Callithrix jacchus: one gene and its partners. The protein of the gene in region 1 interacts with the protein of each later gene in a biochemical or structural test. Links are inferred from orthologs where the notes say so. Each region holds a gene or a part of one and is shown in the gene's direction. Other genes may lie near its edges. The genes, in order: CDC25C, PLK3 and CHEK1.

Region 1 (4,386 bases):
AAGAAATCTAATTATTAAATCTAATTTTCTGAGAGTTTTGGCAAATCATTTAATACTCCTTGGCCTCAGTTTACCCATATGTAAAGTAGGTAGAATAATCTAAACCTGTCACAGGAACAACATAACATACTAAAATGTACAAAAGGTACCACCTGGCCTGTAAAAATCAGGAGTCCACATAGACTACCATTTCTCATTTCTGTTTGTGAATCTTCAAGACCTCAGAATGTCAGAAGTAATGATATCAGTAAGATGAAGAAGGCAACAGGGTCTATCTCTGGCTGAATACCATCCTCCCTCACCTGCACACTAAAAAAAAGCCCAAGAAGGCTCTTCCTTCTGTGACCTTGGGGGCAGACCACTGTACAATAAAGAGGAAATCATCTCTAACCCATTCACACCTCAGAAGGAGGCCACAAGGAAGAGCAAAGAAATGAATCTGGATGTACTTGGAGTTCTTTGGAAGAAAGGTGCAAGAGAAGTCAATCATCATTAGAGTTAACTACCATTTTCATGCATAATTATTACCACCCTGAACAAAATTCTAGCTTCCGGGGAGCTCCCTTCAGCTGCTTCCCCTATGTTCTCATGGGAGAAGCTAAAGCTTATATCACTTTTGCTCTTGGTTTCTTAACTCTGCCTTCAAAGATCAACCAGAGAGGAAACCTAAGTGCAGGATTTTACCCTAGAGACCCCAGGCCTCAGGCTCACCAGCTAGGAGGAACAGGGTAGTGAAACAAACTCTCTAGCTTTTCGAAAGATATTTGGACAACAGCAAACTCCCAATCATCTCTAGGATAGGTGAATAGAGTGAATTTGTGTTTTTCTGCATTTTAATTGTTGGGATGTGGCCACACACAGCGGTAATTGGAACAATGCAACTACCACCACGCAACTGATACTCTCAGCCTGAGTTTCCTAAAACAGGCCAGGCTGAGAGGGGGAACAGAACGGAAGCCATAAGGAATCAAACCAGGACACAAAAGAAGGCAAACCAGCTCCGCGAGGGGCCTCCTCTTTCTCAAGCAGGCATTGAAAAAAGTGTAAGAAGCCCGATCTTGCTGCCTTCCTTCCCCTTCCATTTTGTGTATCTGAAGGGTAGAGACAGCCCTGAACGTTCACTAAACAAGTTAAAACTTCTCAGTTTAACAACTGGCACAAGGGCTTAGCCCTTCACAGAGCAGCAGGCCGCTAGGCCCTCTCAGCAACCCCACCAGGCCTAACCCTCAGTCCAGGCTTTTCCTCCACCATCAGCCCCCTAAAATAAAGATCGGACCCCCACCCCATCTGCTACTGGATGGCAGTAACCCCTGACACTCCTGTTTCAGGGATGCGGAGGTTGTGCTGAACCTAGACAAGGTAGAATCAAGTCAGGCCAAGAGGGAGGAGAGTCACAAATCCCTTGGGGACCTTCCCCCAGGTCCCAGCCCTACACCTCTTGGGGAGACTGAAGGAAAACATGAGGAAGGCAGGGAGGTGCACGAACAGGTAAGTGGAGACCTTCCGCCTCTTCTTCCATATGGTTCTGGTGGGAATAGTGGTGACAAGTGGGAAACACCCCTCCCCCACCCCCATGAAGAAGCAAAAGGCTAGGCCCCTTCAATCTTCAAGCTATCCCTCTGTTGCCCTGCCTGTCCCCGCGGGGTGGGGCATGGGGCGTCCGCTGGTCCGCGGCGGGGGGGGGTCGCCAGGGCTTGCTCAGGGGGGCTGGCGTTTGCCTCTTCCCACTAGGTTCCATCATCTGGCCGCGGGAAGCGAACTCCCGACGCAAGGGATGGGGAGGGTCTGGGACTTAGCACTCCGCCACCCCCTCCCCCACCGGGTCCCGTGCTCTCCCCGCGGAGGCGGCCTGCGAGGCCCGGCCGCACAGGCGGCAGGACTGGGGGAGGGGAAAGAGGGAAGGAGGGAGGGACAGTTGAGGTGCCCGCCCCGAGGCCCCAGCGCCACCTGCCCTCTGCCACCTACCGCAGCTCCTCCAGCTCCCAGGGCCACGGCCGGAGCAGCTCTGAGCGCTCCGTTCGCCCCACGGTGCCCTTAAAAGGCGCTGGCGCGAACCAACGAGTCCCTGAGGAGAGTAGGGGGACAGCTCCGGCTAGCAGAATCCCCTCGAGCCACCCGCGGAGGCCGCAGCCCCGTGTGGTGTCTCTGTCAACGTCTTTCTCAGATAGCGCTGTCGGGAAGTAGCCTGACGCTTTGATTTAGGGATGGGGGTGGTTTCCTCACTAACGAGTCACCCCTTCAAAATCTCTCAGAAAGTGGACGGTCCCAGTCGGAGGCACATCTTGAAACCCGCGGGGGAGGCCCCGTCGGAAGAAGGTAAACAAAGGCATCGCCCCTGGCCTCCCTCCCTCCGTCGGCCCAACTACAGCCTCCCACGCGGTTCTGGCCGCGTCACGCAATTAGCCACAGTGCCCCATCACCTGCTCTGCTGCTCCGCCCTCCACGGCCACCTCTTCGAAGGAATTCCCCCTTCCCCCTGCAAAGGACCTGTCCGCCGCGTGAAGGCTGCTGGGAAGTGTGGTCCAAGCGCCGATCAGGGCCTGCTCTGAGTCCCAGGAGCCCCTCTTGCAGCTGCCGGATCGGCATGAATCTTAAAAACCCAGGACTTACAATGGTTGCGGGGCCGTTTCCACTCGGTTTTGTAATTTGCCCTCACCCAGAACACTTTGTAAAGCTCAGGATAGCCCAAGGCTGTTCACTCCCTATCCTCCCTCTCCGCCCCCCCCCCAGCAGGATGAGGTAATGGGATTGTGATTATGACATCATAGGCGGTTCAGTTGCTTGCGTTGGGTGGGGGGAGGTGCGGGGAGGTGGGGAGAAGTACGGTGGTTACACTTTCGTTAAACAGAAAGGGAGGGAGGAAACAGGCAGATGGTGAAAAGATGTGACGGCCCTACATTTCCACTTCAGGAAGACAAAACCACCTTTTATTAAGTCTCCACCACTACCACCACTTCCCACATGAGCCAAAGTTTAAGTCTTTTTTAGAGACTGAATGTAGACGTTAGTGTGTGAAGAGGTTGGGTTGATGGTTTCTGGCTCTTATGTAAATTTGAGTCTCAGCCTCACAGATGGTTCAGGGAGACAAGCAAAAAAGTGGATGAAGAAGAGGCTTTAAACAATGCCTTCGTGTTGTGATCTCTTTGTAATGCAAAGTTTTCGATTTTTTTTCAATTGATTGGAAAGTAGCAGTAATGCAAGTAATCTTCACTATTACACTTAGCAGAAAGTCCTCTGAAAGACATCTGTTCTCTGTAAATATTTTGTGCCTTACTCATGACTGGGACAGGTAAATAGCTGTGATCAGCTGGAAAGTAGAGCCAATGGTGGGGATCTTCCTCACAGAGCCAGGTAGATGAGGAAGCAGGAGCCACAAAGTCTGCAAACTGAAAAAGAGTAGAGGAAAAGTGAGGTACAATAATAACTGAGAAAATAGGGGTAGAGAGATTTACCTTGCACTGCCTATTTCCCCTTGGCAAAAGGAGCAGAGGCAGGCACCATGAAGTGTGGGACACATAGTTTCTAATAATTGCACTTATGTGCCAGACACCATGCTTTTTTTTTTTTTGCAGAAACAGGGTTTTGCTCTGTTGCTCAGGCTGGAATGCAGTGAGACCATCATAGCTAACTGCAGCTTGAACTTCTGGGCTCAAGCAGTCCTTCCCATCTCAGCCTCCTGAGTAGTTAGAACTACAGGGGTGTGCCACCATGCCCAGCATATTTATTTCTATTTTTGTAGAGAGAGGGTCCTTGCTATGTTGCCCAGGGTAGTCTGAAACTTCTGGCCTCAAATGATCTTCCCAGCTTGGCCTCACAAAGTGCTCAAATGGCCAGGCATGATGACTCACACCTGTAATCCCAGCACTTTGGGAAGCAAGGCAGACAGATCATTTGAGGTCAGGTGTTCCAGATCAGCCTGGCCAACATGGTGAAACCCCATCTCTACTAAAAAATACAAAAATTAGCTGGGCGTGGTGGTGCCCACATGTAATCCCAGCTACTCCGGAGGCTGAGGCAGGAGAATCGCTTGAACCCAGGAGGCAGAGGTTGCAGTGAGCTGAGATCATGCCACTGTACTTCAGCCTGGGCCACAAACAAAACAAAAGAACAAAAAAAAAAAAAAGTGCTGGGATTCCAGGTGTGAACCACCATACCTGGCCTACATACTTTGATGTATATTCTCATTTTTTTTTACAGTCATCCAATGAAACAAAACTTTCTCTTTGACAAAGGAAACAGCCCAGGAGATTAAGTGACTGCCCACGTGGTAGGTAGAGGTAGTATCAAAAAGCAGTCTAAAAGAGATTCAAAAAGCCCTTGCTTTTCACTGCTAAGCTCTTCCCCTTTTTATTATTAACCAAGCTTACTAATTACATGATTGAGTTG
Region 2 (4,383 bases), on another chromosome or scaffold:
GGCAATCATCCTGACCAGAGAGACTGTGGCCCAGGCCAGGGTGTGAGGGGAAGATGGAGCCAAGGGGATAGATATTAGAGCTATTTGAGAGATAAACTTGACAGGATTTGGGTACTCAGCAAATATTTGTTTACTTTACCGGCTACTCTTTCTAAAGTAGGCCCTTCATTTGCTCTTCTGTTTACTTACTTCATAGCACTTTTCACAGCCTGCAATTACCTTGTTTATCTGCTTGCCTATTGTCTGTTTCCATCAAGCAGAATGTAAACTAAGTAAGGGCTGCGACCTTGATTCGTTTTGAGATAGTGTCCAGCACTTAGCAGATACTCTCAATAAATCTTGGCGGAATGGCATAGTAATTGATTGCTGGCACAAAGGGAGGGCAGAGAGATAAGAGCCAAGGCCAGGAGGCCAGTGGTCCTGGGGCTCTGTCTCTGGCCCTGGGAAGGGTGGGCATTGAGCAGGGATCTAAGGGTCCACATGTTTCGGAGACTTAGCTGCCCCATTGCCTGTGGCTAGCATTTGAGAAAAATCCAATTCCCATTCTTCACTTTCTGGCCTTCTGGCTGCTGACCCAGGCCAGGGGTATTTTCAGAGGAAGGGAACTGGGGAGTCCACAGGAACCCGAAAGCTGCCCCTCAAGAGTGTAGAAGTGGGCAGCGGAAGATGGGCCTGGAAGCATGGTAAAAGCCTTGAAATACCAGGCTCTGCTTGACTCCCAAACCTGGCAAGGCAGCCCTAGGGCTGGGCAAGCCAGGACTGTGCCTTCCTCTCAGGTCCTAAAGAAGGCAGCACTGTGCCAGGCCCCGGGCAAGGGCATGGGACGCACGCGGTCCGGCACACAGAAAGGGGAGAGCTGGTGAGAAGCCCGGGCAAAAGCGAGCCCGCCCCTGCCTCGCCCCTCCTGGCTAGAACGCTGATCTATCTAGTTGCTGGGGAGACGCCTCCAGATGCCCGGGTCCCACTCGGACTTCAGCACACTTTCCAAAGGATGGGGAAAGAAAGAGGCCCCCATGAGGGGGACTCGCAGTCGTCAAGGAGGGGTGAGAGACGGACAGGGATCAGCTGGCTCCTGCGGCCTGGTCGCACCTGCACAGTGACTGGCAAACGGGCTGCGCCCCAGGGCGTGGCCAGGAGGCGGGGCTTGGAAGTGCGTTTGGTGGGGGAGGAGCTTCTGGGTGACGTAAGTCCAGGAATGGGTGTGGCTTTTCCATGACTCGCGCCAGGAAGGGGGCGGAACTTTCGGTGACGAGACGCCGGGGAGGGGCAGGCGTTCATTGATAAAAACGCTGGGCTACCGCGGGCGCGAGCGCAGCGTAGCAAATCCAGGCAGCGCCACGCGCGGCCGGGGCCGGGCGGAACCGAGAAGAAGCCGGGCCCCTGCGCTGCGACGCGCCGCCCGCATGGAGCCCGCCGCCGGTTTCCTGTCCCCGCGCCCCTTCCAGCGTGCGGCAGCCCCACCCTCTCCCCCCGCCGGGCCCGGGCCGCCTCCGAGTGCCTTGCCCGGACCTGAGCTGGAGATGCTGGCCGGGCTACCGGCGTCAGACCCCGGGCGCCTCATCACGGACCCGCGCAGCGGCCGCACTTACTTCAAAGGCCGCTTGTTGGGCAAGGTGGGCCGGGGGACGTCACCGGGGTGGTGATGGTGGAGGCGGGGGTCCCGGCCGGCCTCTTTTCTGACGCCAAGCCAGGCGTGGGCGCTTTACCGTAACGCGGGGACTCCCGCGGGCTAGACTCGGCCTCCCCTGGAACACCCAGCCTGATGCCCCCTCTTCACAGGGGGGCTTCGCCCGGTGCTACGAGGCTACTGACACAGAGACTGGCAGCGCCTACGCTGTCAAAGTCATCCCACAGAGCCGCGTCGCCAAACCGCATCAGCGTGAGAAGGTGGGTCTAGGCTCAGCTTGCGAGGGGTGGGGTGGGGACGGTGGCCTGGGAACCATGGAAGGATGATGACCCCGTGCCCTCATCGCAGATCCTAAATGAGATTGAGCTGCACCGAGACCTGCAGCACCGCCACATCGTGCGTTTTTCGCACCACTTTGAGGATGCTGACAACATCTACATTTTCCTGGAGCTCTGCAGCCGAAAGGTGAAAGATGGTGATTCCAGCAGGGATGAGGGTGAGGGAGACAAGAGAGTCTTTTTTGTTGTCTCGCTCTGTCGCCCATGCTGGAGTGCAGTGGTGCGATCTCAGCTTACTGCAACCTCCGCCTCCCGGGTTCGAGCGATTCTCCTGCCTCAGCCTCCTGAGTAGCTGGGACTACGGGTGGGCGCCACCACGACCAGCTAATTTTCGTATTTTTAGTAGAGATGGGGTTTCAGCATGTTGGTCAAGCTGGTTTCGAACTCCTGACCTCGTGATCCGCCCACTTCGGCCTCCCAAAGTGTTGGGATTACAGGCATCAGCCACTGCACCCCAGCTGAGAAGAGAGTCTTAAGACCCAAAGCTGGGGCCCTGTCTCTTCCACAGGGAGCACAGATGGAGGGGGTGGGGGAGGTCCCAACAGGGGCTGAGGCAGTGGTTCTCTGCAGTCCCTGGCCCACATCTGGAAGGCCCGCCACACCCTGTTGGAGCCAGAGGTGCGATACTACCTGAGGCAGATCCTTTCAGGCCTTAAGTACTTGCACCAGCGAGGCATCTTGCACCGGGACCTCAAGTTGGGTGAGACTCCTGAGCCCTGAGGATGGGAGGTTGGGGAGGGAAGGAGGAAGGAAGAATCTGACACACCTCTCTTTCCCCATCCAGGAAATTTTTTCATCACTGAGAACATGGAATTGAAGGTGGGGGATTTTGGACTGGCAGCCCGGTTGGAGCCCCCAGAGCAGAGGAAGAAGTGAGTTTTGAGGAAAGGAGTCTGTGTGTGACATATGTGACAGACAGTGCATATGTATGTAGGAGGCCAGATGACTGTCTGATGTTTGCATGAGATAAATGGGAAGGGATGATGGGCTGTTTATGCGTGTGTGAAGGTGGAGGTGGCAGCCTGTGTTACTGGGATTGGTGGAGAGAGGGAGGATCCTATAGATGTGTGACACAGATAGGGTAGGTAACCCTGAATCCCTGAGACAGATGGGGATATACAGATTCTTGGAGGCACATGACTTACCCTGTGTGTGGATGGGGGACGGTGACAGGCAGCATGTGGTGTATGAGACAGACTGAGAGTGGGAATGGTGGGACATGACACTGGGTGTAAGAAGACCCTGCTGTGGCCATCTCCCTGCATGTGTCGGACACAGATAGCATGTGTGGCAGATGAGTGTTTATGGGGGTTGTGACAGCTGGTGTTGGCGTGTGTGTGGCACAGACCATGGGAGGTGACAGCCTGATGCCTGTCTGACAGACAGGAGTGCAGGAAGGGAGAAGGGATCAGCTGTGGACTCTCTGTGTTGACCCAGGAGGAGGGGACAGGGCTGGGGGTCAGGCCCTCTCCCTGTCATGAAGAGCAGCTGAGCAGCTGGGCCAGGCGGGTAGGCAGGGACTCAGCTGCCATCCCTGGCATCCATTGTCCCAGGACAAGCAGGAGCTCTCTGGCCTTTGGTGACAGGCAGCTGCTTTGTCTGGACTCGCAGTGGGGGAAGGGGTGGGGGGCTGCTGGGCTACGTCTCAGCCTTCTCTCCTCCTCCTCACCCTCTTTCAGGACCATCTGTGGCACCCCCAACTATGTGGCTCCAGAAGTGCTACTGAGACAGGGCCACGGCCCTGAGGCAGATGTGTGGTCACTGGGCTGTGTCATGTGAGTCTCAGGGACCAGGGTCAGCAGCAGATAGGTGGTGGGTGTGTGGGTGGGGCATCCCCTCCACTTGACTCCTGACCCCTTGGCTCTGCCCTACAGGTACACGCTGCTCTGTGGGACCCCTCCCTTTGAGACAGCAGACCTGAAGGAGACATATCGCTGCATCAAGCAGGTTCACTACACGCTGCCTGCCAGCCTCTCACTGCCTGCCCGGCAGCTTCTGGCTGCCATCCTTCGGGCTTCACCCCGAGACCGCCCCTCTATTGACCAGATCCTGCGCCATGACTTCTTTGCCAAGGTCTGTGGCTCCCCAGACCTCTAAGTCCAGTCTGTGTATTCCCAGCGATTGAAAAGGGGCAGGTGACAGGACCCCTGGAGCCTCTATTCTCTGTTCACATGGCTCCCCTCCTTAGGGCTACACCCCTGATCGACTCCCTATCAGCAGCTGTGTGACAGTCCCAGACCTGACACCCCCCAACCCGGCTAGGAGTCTGTTTGCCAAAGTTACCAAGAGCCTCTTTGGCAGAAAGAAGAAGAAGAGTGAGTCTTGGGTGTCACTGGGTTGAGGGGGTAGAGCAGGAGAGCAGCTTGTCACATTTGTCTTGGGCATGTGAATGTGGGTATCTGGGGACTCAGGGGGAGA
Region 3 (4,322 bases), on another chromosome or scaffold:
ACAGGTGTGCACCAACACTCCCAGCTAGTTTTTTGTACTTTTAGTAGAGATGAGGTTTCACTATGTTGGCCAGGTTGGTCTTGAACTCCTGGCTTCAAGCCATTCTCCTGCCTTGCCTTCCCAAAGTGCTGGAATTACAGGCACGAGCCACTGCGCCCGGCTAGTACTGGAGAATGTATGGAGATGATCTTGCCTATGCCTTGAGCTCCAGTTTAGTTTATCGTCAGAGAATACCTATTTCAGTTTTTCCTATTTGGTTCTCAAGTCTGTTTCCTCAGAATTTACTTTTCTGTACGCCGCTTTTAAATTTGCATTGTAAAATTTACTTTGGCTCTCCCCGCTTGTAAAAATGAAAGTCTGTAGAAGAACTAAGCTAAGCAGATGGTCTTCCTCCAAAAAGATTGGGCTGAACTAAAGCACTGTTTTGGAGCCGGTTCACAGACAAAAAGCAAAATTGGTTATCCTGACTTTACCTCAAGTTCCAAAATAAACTGCTTTCTTTCTCTGGGAAACTTCCCACGCCACACACACAATGCGTGGCCAGTCATTTCGATGCCTCTCGCTCCCTACACGGAGTTCCTCTCATTCTTCACAGCTCTCAGCAGCTGCTGCTAGTTTCTCGGCTCCAACACCACGGGTACCGCACGCTGAAGTTTACAAAACACTCTGCAGCACCCACTAACTGTGATCTTCACAGTCCTGTCGCAGGCTGGTGGCCTCAAGCAGGTAGCGGTGCAGCCTTTCAGGTCCAGCGCGACCCGGAGCGATGCCCGCAGCCCCGCCTGGAAGCGCAGCGCGGTCGGTCGCGCGCACCCTCGGCGTGGAGGCCTCGGCTCCGCCCGGCAGTGGACGAGCACGGCCTAGCCGAGCCGCACACACCGGATGCCACTTCATATTTGGGCCCAGAGCTCAATTCACGCCGACGCAGTCCGCCGTCCTTAAATCTCTTCAGCCAGGATCTCTCCCCGACTGCAAAGCAACCCTGGGCCGGAGCGGCAACCTCGCACCGTCAGTCTTTTGGAGCAGCCGATCCTCCGAGGGGTGGGACACGGTAACGCGCGCTGTCCTGCTTTACGGCACGGGTGCGCGCGTTTGCGGCAGCAAGTTTTGGCGGGAAAAGCGCTGCATTTGGATTCCTGCAGTGGTGGGCAAAGGACAGCCCGGTGACGAAGGGCGGCCGGTAGGGTAGGAATAGATTCTAAAGAAGGAGTTCGGGGTCTAGATTAGTGAGACGGGCAAGGTGGGAGAAAGTTAGCATTGACTAGCGCAGGGGATTGGAGAAACTCCTGCGGAGGGGCGGTTTCGGAGGGTGGAGGAATGTGGTACCAGGAGGTTCCGGTTGTCGGGGTGGAGGGAGTGAGCGGGGAGAAAGGACTAACTTGCTGCTGGCTAGGAACCCCTGGGGTTTAGGCGCCGTCCTTCTGGGTCCCAGTCCTTCTTACTCCTCTCGAGGCAGTTTGGCCCCGCCCCAGCTTCTGGGACGGGTCGGGTGTGGACGGGGATGGGAATTGGAGCTGAGCGATTGGGTGGAGGCGCTACCGCGGCGTCTTCTGCCCAGTTCCGCCCCCTGTATCCCCTTACTCTCTTCCGCAGACCCCCATCTCTCCTACCTTTTTCCCCAGAAAGCATTTGTCCACCACCTCTTCACCACGATTAATTTACTCTAGGCTTGAGGAGGGCAGAATTTCAGCCTTCGGTGTGCGTGGCATGAATAGCGATTGTGAGTTACACGACAAAATGCCCACGTTTAGAATAGTTGCTCGTGGTTGAAAGACCTGGATAAATATGGATGAGATATAAGGGGAAGGCAAGAGCTGTTATTGCTCGTGGGGAATCCTGGGGAGAGGCGGGGCGCAGTGGCTTCATAGGTGATTTTACTCTAGCCTTCCATCTTTTCTGGATTCCTGCCTTTTACAGCCAAGGTGCTCCGTGGAGTCATGGCAGTGCCCTTTGTGGAAGACTGGGACTTGGTGCAAACCCTGGGAGAAGGTGCCTATGGAGAGTGAGTTTGAGTTCTTTTACCTTGCCTTTGTTTTCTGTCTGCATATTCACTGTTTTGGAGTCTAATACTCTGGTGACTTGGTGAGTAGATGTTTGAGATCCAAGTCTTTTGGCAACTATAGTTACACAGTCTTTTACTAGGATTAATATTTTTTTCTTCCCTTTTTTTTTAAAAAAAAAAAAGTTTTCTTTCTAAAGAGCTGGAAGGGACACGAAGTTATTGTTTCTGTGCCCACAGATTGTTTCTCAGGGTTTAAGCTTTGTGGTTAATTGAGCAAATGAGCAGACTCCGGAGATTGCCTGCTTGGTTTTGGATCCTTGCTCTATCACAAACTGGTCGTTGTTTTGTGATCTTAGGCAAGCTTTCTAATGTCACTGTGTACTTTTCCTTTACCATCTTAAGGATGGCAATAATAGTATCTACCCCATAGATGCTTAGGACGGTCAATTACACAGGCACATATAGTATGGGATTAATATTCTTAAAAGTATATGAGTAGAATATGTACATATGTGATGTGGCTTAGAATTACCTCAATCTGTTTTATGAAGTGTTTATTAAACGACTTGTGTGACAACATAAGGACTTCTTTGGAGTGTTAGCTGTCGTATTTCACATTTTAAAAAGGAGTAGTATCTATTGCAAACATAGCAGAAACTATTTCCTTGGTTTCTCCCTTGTGGAGAAATTAATAAAGGTAAAATAGTTTTAGATGGGTCGTGTATAACCTTTGGAAGTTTTAGAAGAAATGGTATTCTGTAATGTTAAAACTCTTTTCCTTTTTAGAGTTCAACTTGCTGTGAATAGAATAACTGAAGAAGCGGTCGCAGTGAAGATTGTAGATATGAAGCGGGCCGTAGACTGTCCAGAAAATATTAAGAAAGAGATCTGTATCAATAAAATGCTAAATCATGAAAACGTTGTAAAATTCTATGGTCACAGGAGAGAAGGCAATATCCAGTATTTATTTCTGGAGTACTGTAGTGGAGGAGAGCTTTTTGACAGAATAGGTATGGAAAAAAATTTAAGATAATTATTCTAAACAAGTTTTTAAATTTGTTTTTTAAATCTTGGGTATGCTATTAAGTCATTGTCCTTTCAGAATTGCTCATGCAACAGTGAAATTGGAATAAATTATCTTTAAAGAATTTTTCAAACTGGTGTTAATAATCAAAGCATACGTAGAGTCAATGAAAGAAAACTCCTTTCCCAAGTTATGTAAGTGATTTTGATTAAGATTGGTGTCTTAAAAAATTTAAGAGTGAGAAACTGTAGTTTTATGGTACATCATAAATGCACTGTATCCTAAATGCAATGTATTGCCTATACAATTTTTTTCTTTGTAGATATTCTCATTACATGAAATTATTGTATGTATTTACAGATCTAAAATTATAGCATGTTGTTTCCTTCCGGTTTACATGAAATAATTAAGAATTTTCTAGGATTGCTTTTTGTATATTAGGTAAATTCTGTGTTTGCTATTAATACTTAATCTATGTAGAATCAAAGAATTGATATTACAGAACACTGAGAAGTACATAAAATAAATTTGTGGATCTAAATTTATAATTTAAAGCTATTGTATTAACAATTAAAAACTGATACAGGTAATAGGATCCCCAGTGTGACTCAGGAGAGAATTGAGGGTAAAAGAAATGGAGTTAATGAGAGAGATCAAAGTATAAAAAAAACTGATAAAAGAACTCTTATAATAAAACTGTGTTTCATGAAGGACTTCACAGGCATTAGTGACTTTGTAGTGTGAGACTATATGATATTTAAATCTGAGCCAGGTGTGGTGGTACACGCCTGTAATCCTAGGTACTGAGGAGGCTGAGGCAGAAGGATCGCTTGAGCTCTAGACTTCCAGGTTACAGTGAGTTATGATCTCACTCCAGGGACTCCAGCCTGGGTGAAAGAGCGAGACCTTATCTCTTAAAAAAAAAAAAAGTTAAATAATAAAAAGTATAATCTGTAAAATATTTAGTGAAATTGGCTTAGATTTGCCCAGACTTCTCCCTTGGCATATTTCAGGCATGAAAAAAATATTAGCATAGCATTTAGAAGAAAAAGGGGAGAATTTGAAGGATACTGAATAAATAAGTGTTAGTATAAGAGGAAGCAGGGGCTTTAGAAGAGCAGCTTTTAAGGCATGGCTTGCCTTCTTGATCTGGATGTTGGTTTTCTCTTTATATTTTTCCTGTGATATTAGTTTTGCCATCTAACAGGTGAATGTGTGAGTTAAGCCCTGTATCTGTTAGTGGACTCCTGAATTTTTTGTTGGCATTTGATTCTGTTTGCTTAAGTACATTCATAA

The links.
Region 2: of the proteins of CDC25C (region 1) and PLK3, one has a biochemical effect on the other in vitro, tested with the Homo sapiens proteins (2 studies listed by BioGRID, with this or other methods). The link is inferred for Callithrix jacchus from reciprocal best matches to the Homo sapiens genes CDC25C and PLK3.
Region 3: of the proteins of CDC25C (region 1) and CHEK1, one has a biochemical effect on the other in vitro, tested with the Homo sapiens proteins (16 studies listed by BioGRID and IntAct, with this or other methods). The link is inferred for Callithrix jacchus from reciprocal best matches to the Homo sapiens genes CDC25C and CHEK1.

Annotation. Positions count from the first base shown.
Region 1 is NC_133503.1:36,753,481-36,757,866, reverse strand, and holds the start of CDC25C (M-phase inducer phosphatase 3), read left to right. Parts: upstream 1-1,361; 5' UTR 1,362-1,488; intron 1,489-1,965; exon of another isoform or gene 1,966-2,007; intron 2,008-2,250; exon of another isoform or gene 2,251-2,252; 5' UTR 2,253-2,316; intron 2,317-2,420; exon of another isoform or gene 2,421-2,456; intron 2,457-2,610; exon of another isoform or gene 2,611-2,736; intron 2,737-4,386. UniProt on the Homo sapiens protein: Functions as a dosage-dependent inducer in mitotic control. Tyrosine protein phosphatase required for progression of the cell cycle. When phosphorylated, highly effective in activating G2 cells into prophase.
Region 2 is NC_133508.1:81,515,389-81,519,771, forward strand, and holds the start of PLK3 (serine/threonine-protein kinase PLK3), read left to right. Parts: upstream 1-1,307; 5' UTR 1,308-1,403; coding exon 1,404-1,613; exon of another isoform or gene 1,614-1,779; coding exon 1,780-1,887; intron 1,888-1,975; coding exon 1,976-2,092; intron 2,093-2,535; coding exon 2,536-2,665; exon of another isoform or gene 2,666-2,683; intron 2,684-2,749; coding exon 2,750-2,837; intron 2,838-3,644; coding exon 3,645-3,740; intron 3,741-3,839; coding exon 3,840-4,038; intron 4,039-4,153; coding exon 4,154-4,280; intron 4,281-4,383. UniProt on the Homo sapiens protein: Serine/threonine-protein kinase involved in cell cycle regulation, response to stress and Golgi disassembly. Polo-like kinases act by binding and phosphorylating proteins that are already phosphorylated on a specific motif recognized by the POLO box domains.
Region 3 is NC_133511.1:25,236,034-25,240,355, forward strand, and holds the start of CHEK1 (serine/threonine-protein kinase Chk1), read left to right. Parts: upstream 1-1,341; 5' UTR 1,342-1,707; coding exon 1,708-1,720; intron 1,721-1,917; coding exon 1,918-2,002; intron 2,003-2,788; coding exon 2,789-3,012; intron 3,013-4,322. UniProt on the Homo sapiens protein: Serine/threonine-protein kinase which is required for checkpoint-mediated cell cycle arrest and activation of DNA repair in response to the presence of DNA damage or unreplicated DNA.